2 linked regions of the Nothobranchius furzeri genome follow. The protein of the gene in region 1 interacts with the protein of each later gene in a pairwise test. Links are inferred from orthologs where the notes say so. Each region holds a gene or a part of one and is shown on either strand. Other genes may lie near its edges.

Evidence for each region.
Region 2: the proteins of bcl2l13 (region 1) and pln1 interact in binary tests that used the Homo sapiens proteins (3 or more experiments, as listed by UniProt). The two-hybrid records come from large-scale screens. The link is inferred for Nothobranchius furzeri from reciprocal best matches to the Homo sapiens genes BCL2L13 and PLN.

The regions. Positions count from the first base shown.
Region 1 is NC_091744.1:88,160,631-88,165,390, forward strand, and holds part of bcl2l13 (bcl-2-like protein 13), read left to right. Parts: intron 1-811; coding exon 812-892; intron 893-996; coding exon 997-1,153; intron 1,154-1,592; coding exon 1,593-1,665; intron 1,666-1,748; coding exon 1,749-1,877; intron 1,878-4,760. UniProt on the Homo sapiens protein: May promote the activation of caspase-3 and apoptosis.
Region 2 is NC_091754.1:47,669,784-47,675,137, reverse strand, and holds the start of pln1 (phospholamban), read right to left. Parts: upstream 3,218-5,354; 5' UTR 3,104-3,217; intron 875-3,103; 5' UTR 714-874; intron 89-713; 5' UTR 15-88; coding exon 1-14. UniProt on the Homo sapiens protein: Reversibly inhibits the activity of ATP2A2/SERCA2 in cardiac sarcoplasmic reticulum by decreasing the apparent affinity of the ATPase for Ca(2+).

The sequences.
Region 1 (4,760 bases):
AATGATTGTTTAGATTTTTTGTGGTTTATAAATTGGGTAATTAAAGATATAATCAGTTATGGAGAGGTTTTATTAAGAAAACATTAGACGTCGCATAGACTTCTGTGTATTTCCCTGTTTCTGAGACTGAAATGGGCTAAGAGGTGCAGATGAGTGGCTGGTCCCTGCTTTCCGCTCGACTCGGTCCAATTTCTGACAGCCTGTCATGTGCAATCAGTGTGGGATTACTCACACACCAAAGGCTGAAGCTAAATAGTTGTCTGTCTGCGTGCTGAGACAGCAAAACGACCAGGAACCACCCCCCCACCCCAGCTCTGATCCTCAGGGTGTGCGTGCACCAGATGAAAAGGTAGAAACCAGACAGAGTTTGACTCCAGTGTTTGGAAAACTTGAATAATTAACCTGCTGTTGAGGACGCTGTTCTTCAAACCAGTTAAAATGGTCACCAGTTCCTCAGTGGAAGTAAACAAAGCCTGAATATTTCCCTTCAAACAGTCGTGATCCTTCCCGGTTGAGCGACTTCCCTCTGAATGTGTTTGGATTCTTGAGCAGTGCTGGGTTCCTTACATCCCCAGCAGCAGACCCAGTCCTGTCCAGTGGTGCTCTGAAACCGCCCGGCGACAGAACCCTCGTCAGATATTCCTCCTTATTTTAGCTCCATCATTTCATTTAAGAAGAAATACAGATGAACTGGAAATGAAATCTATCATCTGCAAAGACTTCTCCTCCATTCCTGCAGATAACTAGGTTTAGTGTGCATGAATCCTGAGCGTTACTCTTTGATCCATTTGCCAAACTTTGATCTGATTAGTTATCCAGAATGAAAGAAACCGAAGGATAAAAGTGGAGACGGACGAAGCTCTGAGGCAGCTGAAGGACGAAGTGTCTGCCTGTAAGTCCACGCTGAAGACTGACGTCAGGTTTTTACAACAACTTTGCTTCTGCATGGAAGCCTCTGGTCTCTCGCCACTGACACGTCTGATGTGTGGTCTGCAGCTGCCTCCGGTTTGGGCTTTGACCACCTCCTGTCTCCAGTGTTCAGCCCAGTGGACCCAGAGAGCTCGGTGGAAGACTGCCTCGCTGCAGTTGGAGACAAAGTGGCCATCGAGCTTGGCACACACCTGGCCACAGCTGCCCAAGCACTCCTCAGCGGGTGAGCTCATGTTTGAGGGAGTGTTTCACATTAAACATTTTATAACCATTTATACCTGAAAAAGCTCAAGTTTTTGTCCTCTGCTAAGATTTTCTCACTGCACCAACAGAAAATACAAAGTTCACAATCTCACGGGAACGACCGAGTCCGTGCTGGTTAACGGCTGCTTTGGGAATTCATGAGACGTTCTACCGGAAGAGAATAAATGGAATTCAGTGTGAAAGTCGGGCCAAGTGTTTAGATTTGGTCTAGTTTACAAACATACAGCTCCACTCCCGTGTTGATGCTTGTTCTTTCTGTTGGAACAACCCAGACTTGCATTAAGAAGTTAGGATGTGTGCATCTCTGGAGATGATTAAACCCAATATGAGTAGTTTCTATTCTAACTTAGCGTTGTTTGGAGTGAGTGTTGATTTCTGCTAACGTTTATGTGTTTTAGACCTCTGGACTACCCACGTTTCAGAAGCACGACCCTGGATCTGTCATTGCACACACAAGGAGGCTGGAACAAGGTGAGTCAGTCGCATCTTCTAAGCTGCTGTGCTTAAAACCGTTATTCCAGATAGAAACCTGCTTCATGGCTCACCACCTGCAGGTTCTGGTGCCTCTGGTGTTGCTCCAGGCTCTGCACAGGGAGGGTCAATCTCTGGAAACACTGTTGGAAGTGGGGCTGCACTTCCTGGAGGAGGAGGAAGCTGATTGCATCATCCAGCAAGGAGGATGGGTGAGTTTTGCAACTCAAGCGATTTGACATGAGTGAGGAATAACCATCATGGAAGGAGAAGCTCCTGGGTCTGGGTGGATTCAGACTCCACTACCAAGAGTCTGGGACGATGAAAGAAGGATCCAGATTATTACACTGATGGAAAAGCGAGAATGTAGATTTCCAAATGACCAGATGAGGGCGTCAGTGACTGATTTGATCATTTATATCGAGTTAAACCCGTTGATTACAACGATCACGGCCTGAATTTAAATCTTTGTTTTTAAATTAGAATAATGCAGTTTACCGAGCTTGTAAGAGACTTCTGGAGGTGAACAGTCAGATGTCAGGGAGAGTATTCAGAGTTGTGACGGGGTGATTTTTTAACGTTTCATGTCAGGATCAGAACACCGCTTCAGCTCGGCAGGCTGTAAGAAGTGGAACTCTTCCTGTAATGAGGTCATCCTGAGGAGGAGCCGCGGGACGTGACACGCCAACCGTTTTGTTTGTCGCCGTTAACCTCACGATGTTCTGCCTGGTTCCACGCATCGAACACAGAACACTGGCTTCAAACAAAGCCACGCTTTTGCTCAGTTATGTCATAGGAGATGAGGAGGGATGGGGGGGCATGATGAGAGTTGCGATAGGCAGGATGGGAAGCCAAGCAGGGGAGGGGTGAGAGATCAGCAGCCAGTGAGAGCACGGTTAGATGTTTATCACTGTGACATCTGCCTGCATGGACTCTCTCCACCTCCACCTCATCGCCACCACTCGCTCGCCTTTTGGACTTCTGAGGGATTTTCGCATCCGAGTGTAAACCGGAGCTTTGGCGACTTCGCACCAAGGTAGGAGGTTTTTCTTTGGAGCCACTCAAACGATGACCCCATTAGTCGTGATGGGACAAATTGTCAGAAGCTGAACTGGTGTTTGCTTACTGGCAGCATGGCTGCCACTTCCTACGGAGTCAGAGGCAGCCATCTCAGTCGTCTGAGGAAAGTTATTACCATGCTATAAAGGCTAAAACTGTGCATTTTGAATCGTAATTTTGGCACAAATCAGATGTTTCGTGGTTTAAATGTTTATTCTGTTAATCTTACAGATTCTAGCGTGACAGAGGCACATGACACACGTAACGTTACGGTTGAGTGGCTCTGATAATTCCTTTGTTGGTTTCGGCAGAAGATTGTGACCCTAATGTGGTGTTCGGTCCATTTGGCACGAACAAAGGTGCCTGGCCTCAGGCGGGTAGGAGGTGTGATGAGGTCTTCCTGACACATCAGACGTCGTCCTTCTGACGGGCTGAAAACTGCTGCTGCGCTCTGATGAGTGCTGACGGCTGCTTCTCACCTCCGAGCAAGGAGAGAGAAATCACCAAACCCCGGCTGCAGTTTTCAGTTTATATTTACACGAGTTTCTCCTCTGAGAAGTCCTGGTGCTGCAGGGACGAAGCTGGTGTGAGGGCTCCAGTCCAGGCAGAGGACGTCCCTCTGCTGACTTACGTAAGCAGTAGGAGACCAGGCCCAAGAGTCCACGACTGCACGCATCTAATAAAAAATACAAATCCGAGCATCCATGTTTCTGCATCTGTTCGTTAGTCTAACTGTTCACTCGATGCTCGGTTAAATGTACCGATGCAGATTTAAAGCTGCAGATAAAAAGGCCACATTTGCATCAGTAAAGTTAACAAGATTTTAGATTGATGTCTATTTTAGGTGATTTCTGATCCACTAGAATGTCTCAGCAGGAAAGATGGAGGAGGACTGATGCTGCGTCTGCGGTGATGAGGGTGTTGTAGCGGTCTGTTGTGGTGAAGAGCTGAGCCGGAGAGCGAGGCTCGATTTACCGGTCCGTCTACGTTCCTACCCTCTCCTACAGTCACGAGCTTTGGTAGTGACCGAAAGGACGAGATTACACACGCAAGCAGCCGAAATGAGTTTTCTTTGCAGGTTGTCTGGGCTCTAGGTAGGGTGAGAGACTCGGTCATCCAGGAGGGGCTCATAGCAAAACTGCTGCTCCTCCACATCGAGGGGAGCCAGTTGAGGTGGCTTGGGCATCTAATTCCATTTTTGGTTCTTTTTTAAACACAGGAAAGGTTTCTCTTCCTTGCTGTGTTTAGGAAGCGACGCCACCACCAGCGTCCGCTCTGAGGAGGTTTGCAGATGCAAACGAGAGTTTTTAACTCAAAACAAAAATGGAATCGTATTTAAGTTACTTCATGCAGATTTTCTGGAGATTTCTTTGTTTCTTTAGACTAATAAGATAAAATGTCTAAAAAATGAGTTGTTTTTTAAACTTTCTGTAGTGTAGCTCTAGATTTTTACAGTGAACAGACGGCTAACGGTCTTGTAGCAAAACGCACACACAGAAGTTTTCTGGTGGAGACCTGACCGCCCTGTTCTGCAGATCGAGGCTGCGTCCGAAGGGGAGAGGATTTTCTCCCTCGTGCAAATCAGCTTATGAAGAACTCAACCCTAACCCTAACCCTAGGATGACGATGGGATGCTGTTAGATTTAATCTTGTCCATTCCACCCGCGCCACAGCTGGTGTGCTGAGGGAAATGACCTTAAATGTTATTCGATATAAACGCAAGACCAATGTCCATAGTCTGCTCACAGGCGCTCTAATGGAGACTTCTGTGGAGGTTTATCAGATGTTTATGCTAACTCCTCAGTTTTACTGCTGAATCCCATTGGTTCATGTGACACGCAGCACAGCTGCGACCTCTTCTAGGTCACCTCGAGCATCAACACCTGCTAACGCCTCGTCACAAATCCTATCTACTCAGGTTACTTCTTTTTTTGTGCAATCTGCTAAATTCGTCTACTCTGTCAGTAGTTTGGTTCAACTGTCTGTAGCTCGTCTTACGGGGAGCGCTGCTCACGTTCTGATATCACATTCATGCT
Region 2 (5,354 bases), on another chromosome or scaffold:
TGAACGCGCTCCATCGGGGCAGCGAGGGTTATATCCTGGTGGGTTGGGTCTGGAGCTGAGCAGGAAGAAGTTGGTTCTGTCACCGTCTCTAGTTTCAGATAAAAGAGAACACATTAGAACGTTAAACACACACTGCTCGGTCTCCTGCCTCCAGGTGGAGGCATGTGACCTTTTGGCTTCGCGGCACATGACGATGAGCTGCTCAGAGGCGCCAGTTGAGGCCCGGTGATGTGCTAAGCTGGACATATGTCAAGATCACAACCATTGTTGTGGGATCTACATTTAGAAGGTCAGAAGCAGCCGTCCAGGTGCTGCTGTGGTGGCGGACGCGGTGTCCCTTTTAGTTATCAGTGTGAATGCTTGTTAATGAGCTTCCAGATAAAACCTGTGAGATCGTCTTTCCATTGGTGTGTGGAGAATTAAAGTCCTTTTGGAGTGTGTCCAGAAGATGGCGCTAAAGAAACGCCTTCTGATATTCACACAGCAGCGTCTTGGACGTCTGGAGCTCAGCAGAGGTCACAGCTGCTCATGTGATCGTCTATTTTTATTATTTCACTTTCTTTTGTCCTTCCGGCTCTAATCTGCCTCTGCCTGGCATGTGTGACCGAAGCCAATCAGTCCACCTTAAGAGCTCAGATGAGTCTGTGGGAGCATCTCTCCTAACCGAGCTGGCCCTAGGGATGGTTTAGCAGCTGCAGCCTTCCATGTCTCACCTAAAGGCCGATTACGCCACAGCGAAGCAACAAGCCCGTCCAGATTCAAAGGTTTCTCAAACGTGTCCTCGTTTTCTCCGGAGCTCAAGGACAGGTCTGGCGTTTCCTCGTGGCAACGGTCATCCCAGGGTTCATCACGGGTTGAACGACAGGTTTTAGTTCTGTAACAATGGCACATGAAGCGGGTCGGGGTTACGGTTTCAGTGTTAGTATGTCTGCCGGTTGTGCACAGATTCTTCTCTAAAGGTGCAATATGTAAGGATGAAGCAAGCATGACACACTGTGGTCAAATGTGGGTACTGCAGCTTCTTTTTCTAAACATAATTCATTCTCTCTCACCCGTCCCGCGAGGGTCATGGCTGCTTCCAGCTACGGATCAGCACCAGAAGATTCTCGATGAGTCTTTCATGCTACGTTTATAAGTAATTACATGGTTATATCTGGTGTTAGCACTCTGGGTTTAGCTTTAACTTCTAATTAGTTTAATAGTTGCTAGGCAACAGGACCCATGCTGAGGCAGGAGTATGATGGCTAGATCGTCCAAATTCACAGCCGCTCATTTCTGGTCTTGGCAGTTGAGGAAGGACTCGTCCTACGTGGACCGGGTAGGACGAGTCCTCACAAGGACACTACCTCTGAATTTGGACAAAGCCATTAGGGTAGACGCCGGCAGAAGTCTCAGACATTTACAATAAAAGATATTTTAGGTATAAATGTTGAACTTCCATCTAGTTGAGGCCCGCTAGCCTCTCCTTTAACCTTTTGTTTACTTTGCAGCATTTAGGAGCTAATCTCATCCGTCTGACATGTTCTACCCTTCTCCTTGTCTTCACCTTTCCTCTCTGCTCTCTTGTTGGTTATTCTCACATTTATCTGGATCAAACATGCACAGCTTTCCATCGGAGGCAGGCCCTGATTGGTTCATGTGTTATTAACCAGCAGCTGTTAAAGCTACGGTCATAGGGTACAGCAGGTGGTCCAGATCCTGGAGCGGCACCACACCATCACACTACCATCGCCATGCTTTTGCCCTTGGAACCCTCCCACTGGGCCATTTTTGTCACTGTCTCTCTTTCTTTCTGTGAATGATGACCTCTGACCCTGCAGGGCTTTAGCTGATGCTCTGGGTCTATGAAACGAGTTATGTGTTGCTTTTGAGACCTTTTAGTCTACGCCACGGTTTACAGTGAGAGGGTGGGGCTGTAAATACCTTTTTCACCACTGGGAAGATGAGAAGTGGAGTCTTTAGTTAAACATCAGGAGACTGGGTTTGGGGGTCGGTCTAATTTAGTAATCAGCATTAATAACTTATGTGTGTGTGTGTGTGGGGGGGGGGGGGTTGTTTGGTCCACGTGAACTCCTCCCTGCAGACTTCCACTGAAACAACCAACCCAAACTCTGAATTAACCTGGAGACTTTCAGATGCCCGTCGTTCCAAACGTGTGACTTCTATCAGTATGTGTCAGCAGCAGCAGCTGTCGTATACCAGGCCACACACACACACACACACACACACACACACACTGAGCTATTTATACATTCACTCTGTTGTCAGACTTCAGTCACACACGCCTTGTGACGGACAGCTGTGGGAGGAAATGTAGGTTAAACACACGTAGCTGCTGCTGACCCGGTGCTTGGGCATTGTGACCAGTGCCACACACACACACACACACACACACACACACACACACACACACACACACACACACACACACACACACACACACACATCAGAAAACAGGTGCTGTAGCTCAGTAAATAAAACATCTGACTATAACTATAACTGCTTAATCTGGAAAAGTTTGAACATTTATTAAAAACGGTTTTAGGACGCCTTCAGTTTGTCCGATTCTTCTATCTTCTTCTCTAAAAGTCATCTTCTGATGATTATTACTTTATGACATTTACTATAAAAACTCATTGCCATGAATTCTCCTTTCTGTTATTTGATCACAGGATAAAATCTGGCGTTCACCGTGAAACGAATCCTCCAATTTAGCTTCGCATGAAACCTTTGTCACCAGTGAACATCCTTCTACTGAATTAGGATTAGTCAGTAATCTAATCTAACCGCTGGAGCCATGCATCAGGATGGCAGCGGTGATCAGAATCAGCTGATTTCTCCAAAAGAAGATCATGTGCTCTGGATGGGAACGCCAGGCGAGTGTTTATCCCTCTGGGAGGTTTAGTTTCCATTCCCCTCTTCACAAATGTTTACTCCATCTGAACAATGACTTTATTAGAGGCAGTGATTCATGCACTCCTCCTCAGCATCTCCTCCTCTCACCACCGGAGCAGGATGGATGATGTCTCTGGTTCCTTTTGATCTACTCAGCTAACCACGTTTGGAGCTGGTTGGAACAAAGATGTAGGAGATGGAGGCTTACCTTGCAGATTAAAGCGGCTCTGGTCGGAGCTTGAGGCAGAAATGTTAGATATGCAGCGACCTCTGAGGCTGGACACGCTCTGAGAGAAGGAGAGGAGCAAAGATAAGGATGGGGAGGAGGAAGAGGAGGAGGGAGAGGAGGCAGGACATCCCAGCTGTGGTTTCAGGATCCCATATTTGTGCCTGATGAATGATACATGCGGGGAAGTTTAGCTCTTAAACCTGATTAAAACACAGATAAAGAACATCCTGAGAGACGGTGATGAACGTTACGGCCCTGTTGTCCGTAACGGACAGATTCTCATCGCTGAGCTCCACATCAGGCTCTAGTGAGTCAAACTGTCTAGCTGAAGTTGTCAGAATTAGATTAAAAAACAAAGTTTTTACTTCTGTCAGTCATGATGAAATATAAATTACTGTCATTTAGATAAAACCTGCATCCAGATGAATGTAAAACTGATACGAAGGATTATTCTCATCCATCATGACCCCTTGACCTGGAGGTTGGGCACCATCCAGAGTCATACTACAATTAGCAAACCGGGGCTATCTGCGTTTGGTGTCCTGCTCAGGGGCACTTTGGCAGAACCTTCTGATTCCCTCTTCTATCTGAGCTCCTAGGTTGTTAGTAGTTACCAAATCACCTCAAACTCTTTCTCCTCCAGATGGAGCATCAGCCCTAGAAACCCACCATCAGAGCTCACCACTCTCGTGCACAAGAGGCGATTACAAGTGTTTATTTTTTGACGACATATTTAAAGCAGAAGTCCAGTTTTAATCTGATGACATCATCTGAGAGTTTAACATGTCTCCACCTTACACTGTTTCTGTAAAAACCAAGCCCCCACAATGCGGCTCAAAAATTGGTCCCAACCCGGAAGTACCAAAAATTGCAGTTCCACCCTCATCCACTGGGGACTGGTGTCAGAAACGAGCAAATGCTCATTGACTCCCATGTTAAAAATACCAATTTCAGAGCAGAAATACACATGTTTACAGCCTGCTACCAAAACATGTTTTTTGTTTAAATGATCTAGTTTACACTCATGACAACTCTTAGGGGGGTGACTTTTTTCTCACTCTTCTGTTTAAGTGTATTAAAAGCCTAAAATTCTGTATAATTAATAAGCATCAGACCCACGTGACCACAGAGGAAAGGCCTCAGTAGAGCCTCGTTCTGGCCTAGAAACTGTTCCAAGATTTTGAGTCTCTGTGTGTGTGTATTATTTTTTGGATATTTTTTGTGCAATTGTTGGACAAAATGACTTGCTGTGACATTAATTGCACTAATAGAGCGTCCAAGGAGTCTCCACTTCATTTTTTTCGGTAAGTTAAATTATATTTATGTATTTTAGGTCACTGCCGAGCTGAGCTTAGATTTTAACATGTACTGTTTAACCATGAAATTTAAATGTAATAGGGTAAAAGCCAGTGCATTTAACATAATGCTGCACTTTAGAAAATGGGTTGAAATATAACATGTTGGTGGAGCTGGATTCCTACTATAGGCTTGTGGAGCTCTCGGGAGACCGATGTTTTCCACCCGTTCTCCCCTCCCTGCAGCTCGGCGCATCTCTGTCTGATCGCGGCTTCTGTCTGCTGCGTGGGCTGCCGGCTTGTGGAGCTCTCGGAGACCTCTGTGTTCCACCCAGTTTTACCCAGCGGTCAGCCCGGCGTATCTCTGACTCAGAAGCCCTGGGGTTGTGCACAGTTAACTCTGGTTGTAGCTAGGTTGCTACCTCCGTTAGCTTAGCTCCCACCGCCGCATTAGCTTTGGGTTAGCTTCCGGTTAGCTTGTAGCTAGTTCGACCGGGTGTCGTCAGTTGATCCCAGCCTTAGAGCCCCACCCTCAGCTCCACCTCTCTTCCCTTTTGTGGAATTGTCTGGGCTTGACGGAACCTGTGACACGGTCAAAATGGCGGTGGTGGCCACCTCCCATTTGGCCTCAAAAACGTGTTATTGGAGCCTTTGGAAACCCATTGTCCAATATTTATATGTCGATGGTATAAACGCCTCAGCAGTGAAGACTCACCTCTAGTCGGCCAGCAGAGCTAAAACTCCTCGTTTTACAATTCTCACGTTATGCTGTTTATGCAGATCTTAATATGTGAAGACTAAGTTGTCTACGAGGAAGATCACACTCTGCATCTGTCTAGGTGTGTCCTCAAACGCTCGCGGATGTCTGATGATATTAGCTAAGGCTGAGCGGCGGTCTACAGGACAGCGGGCGTAATGTTGACATCGTATCACGG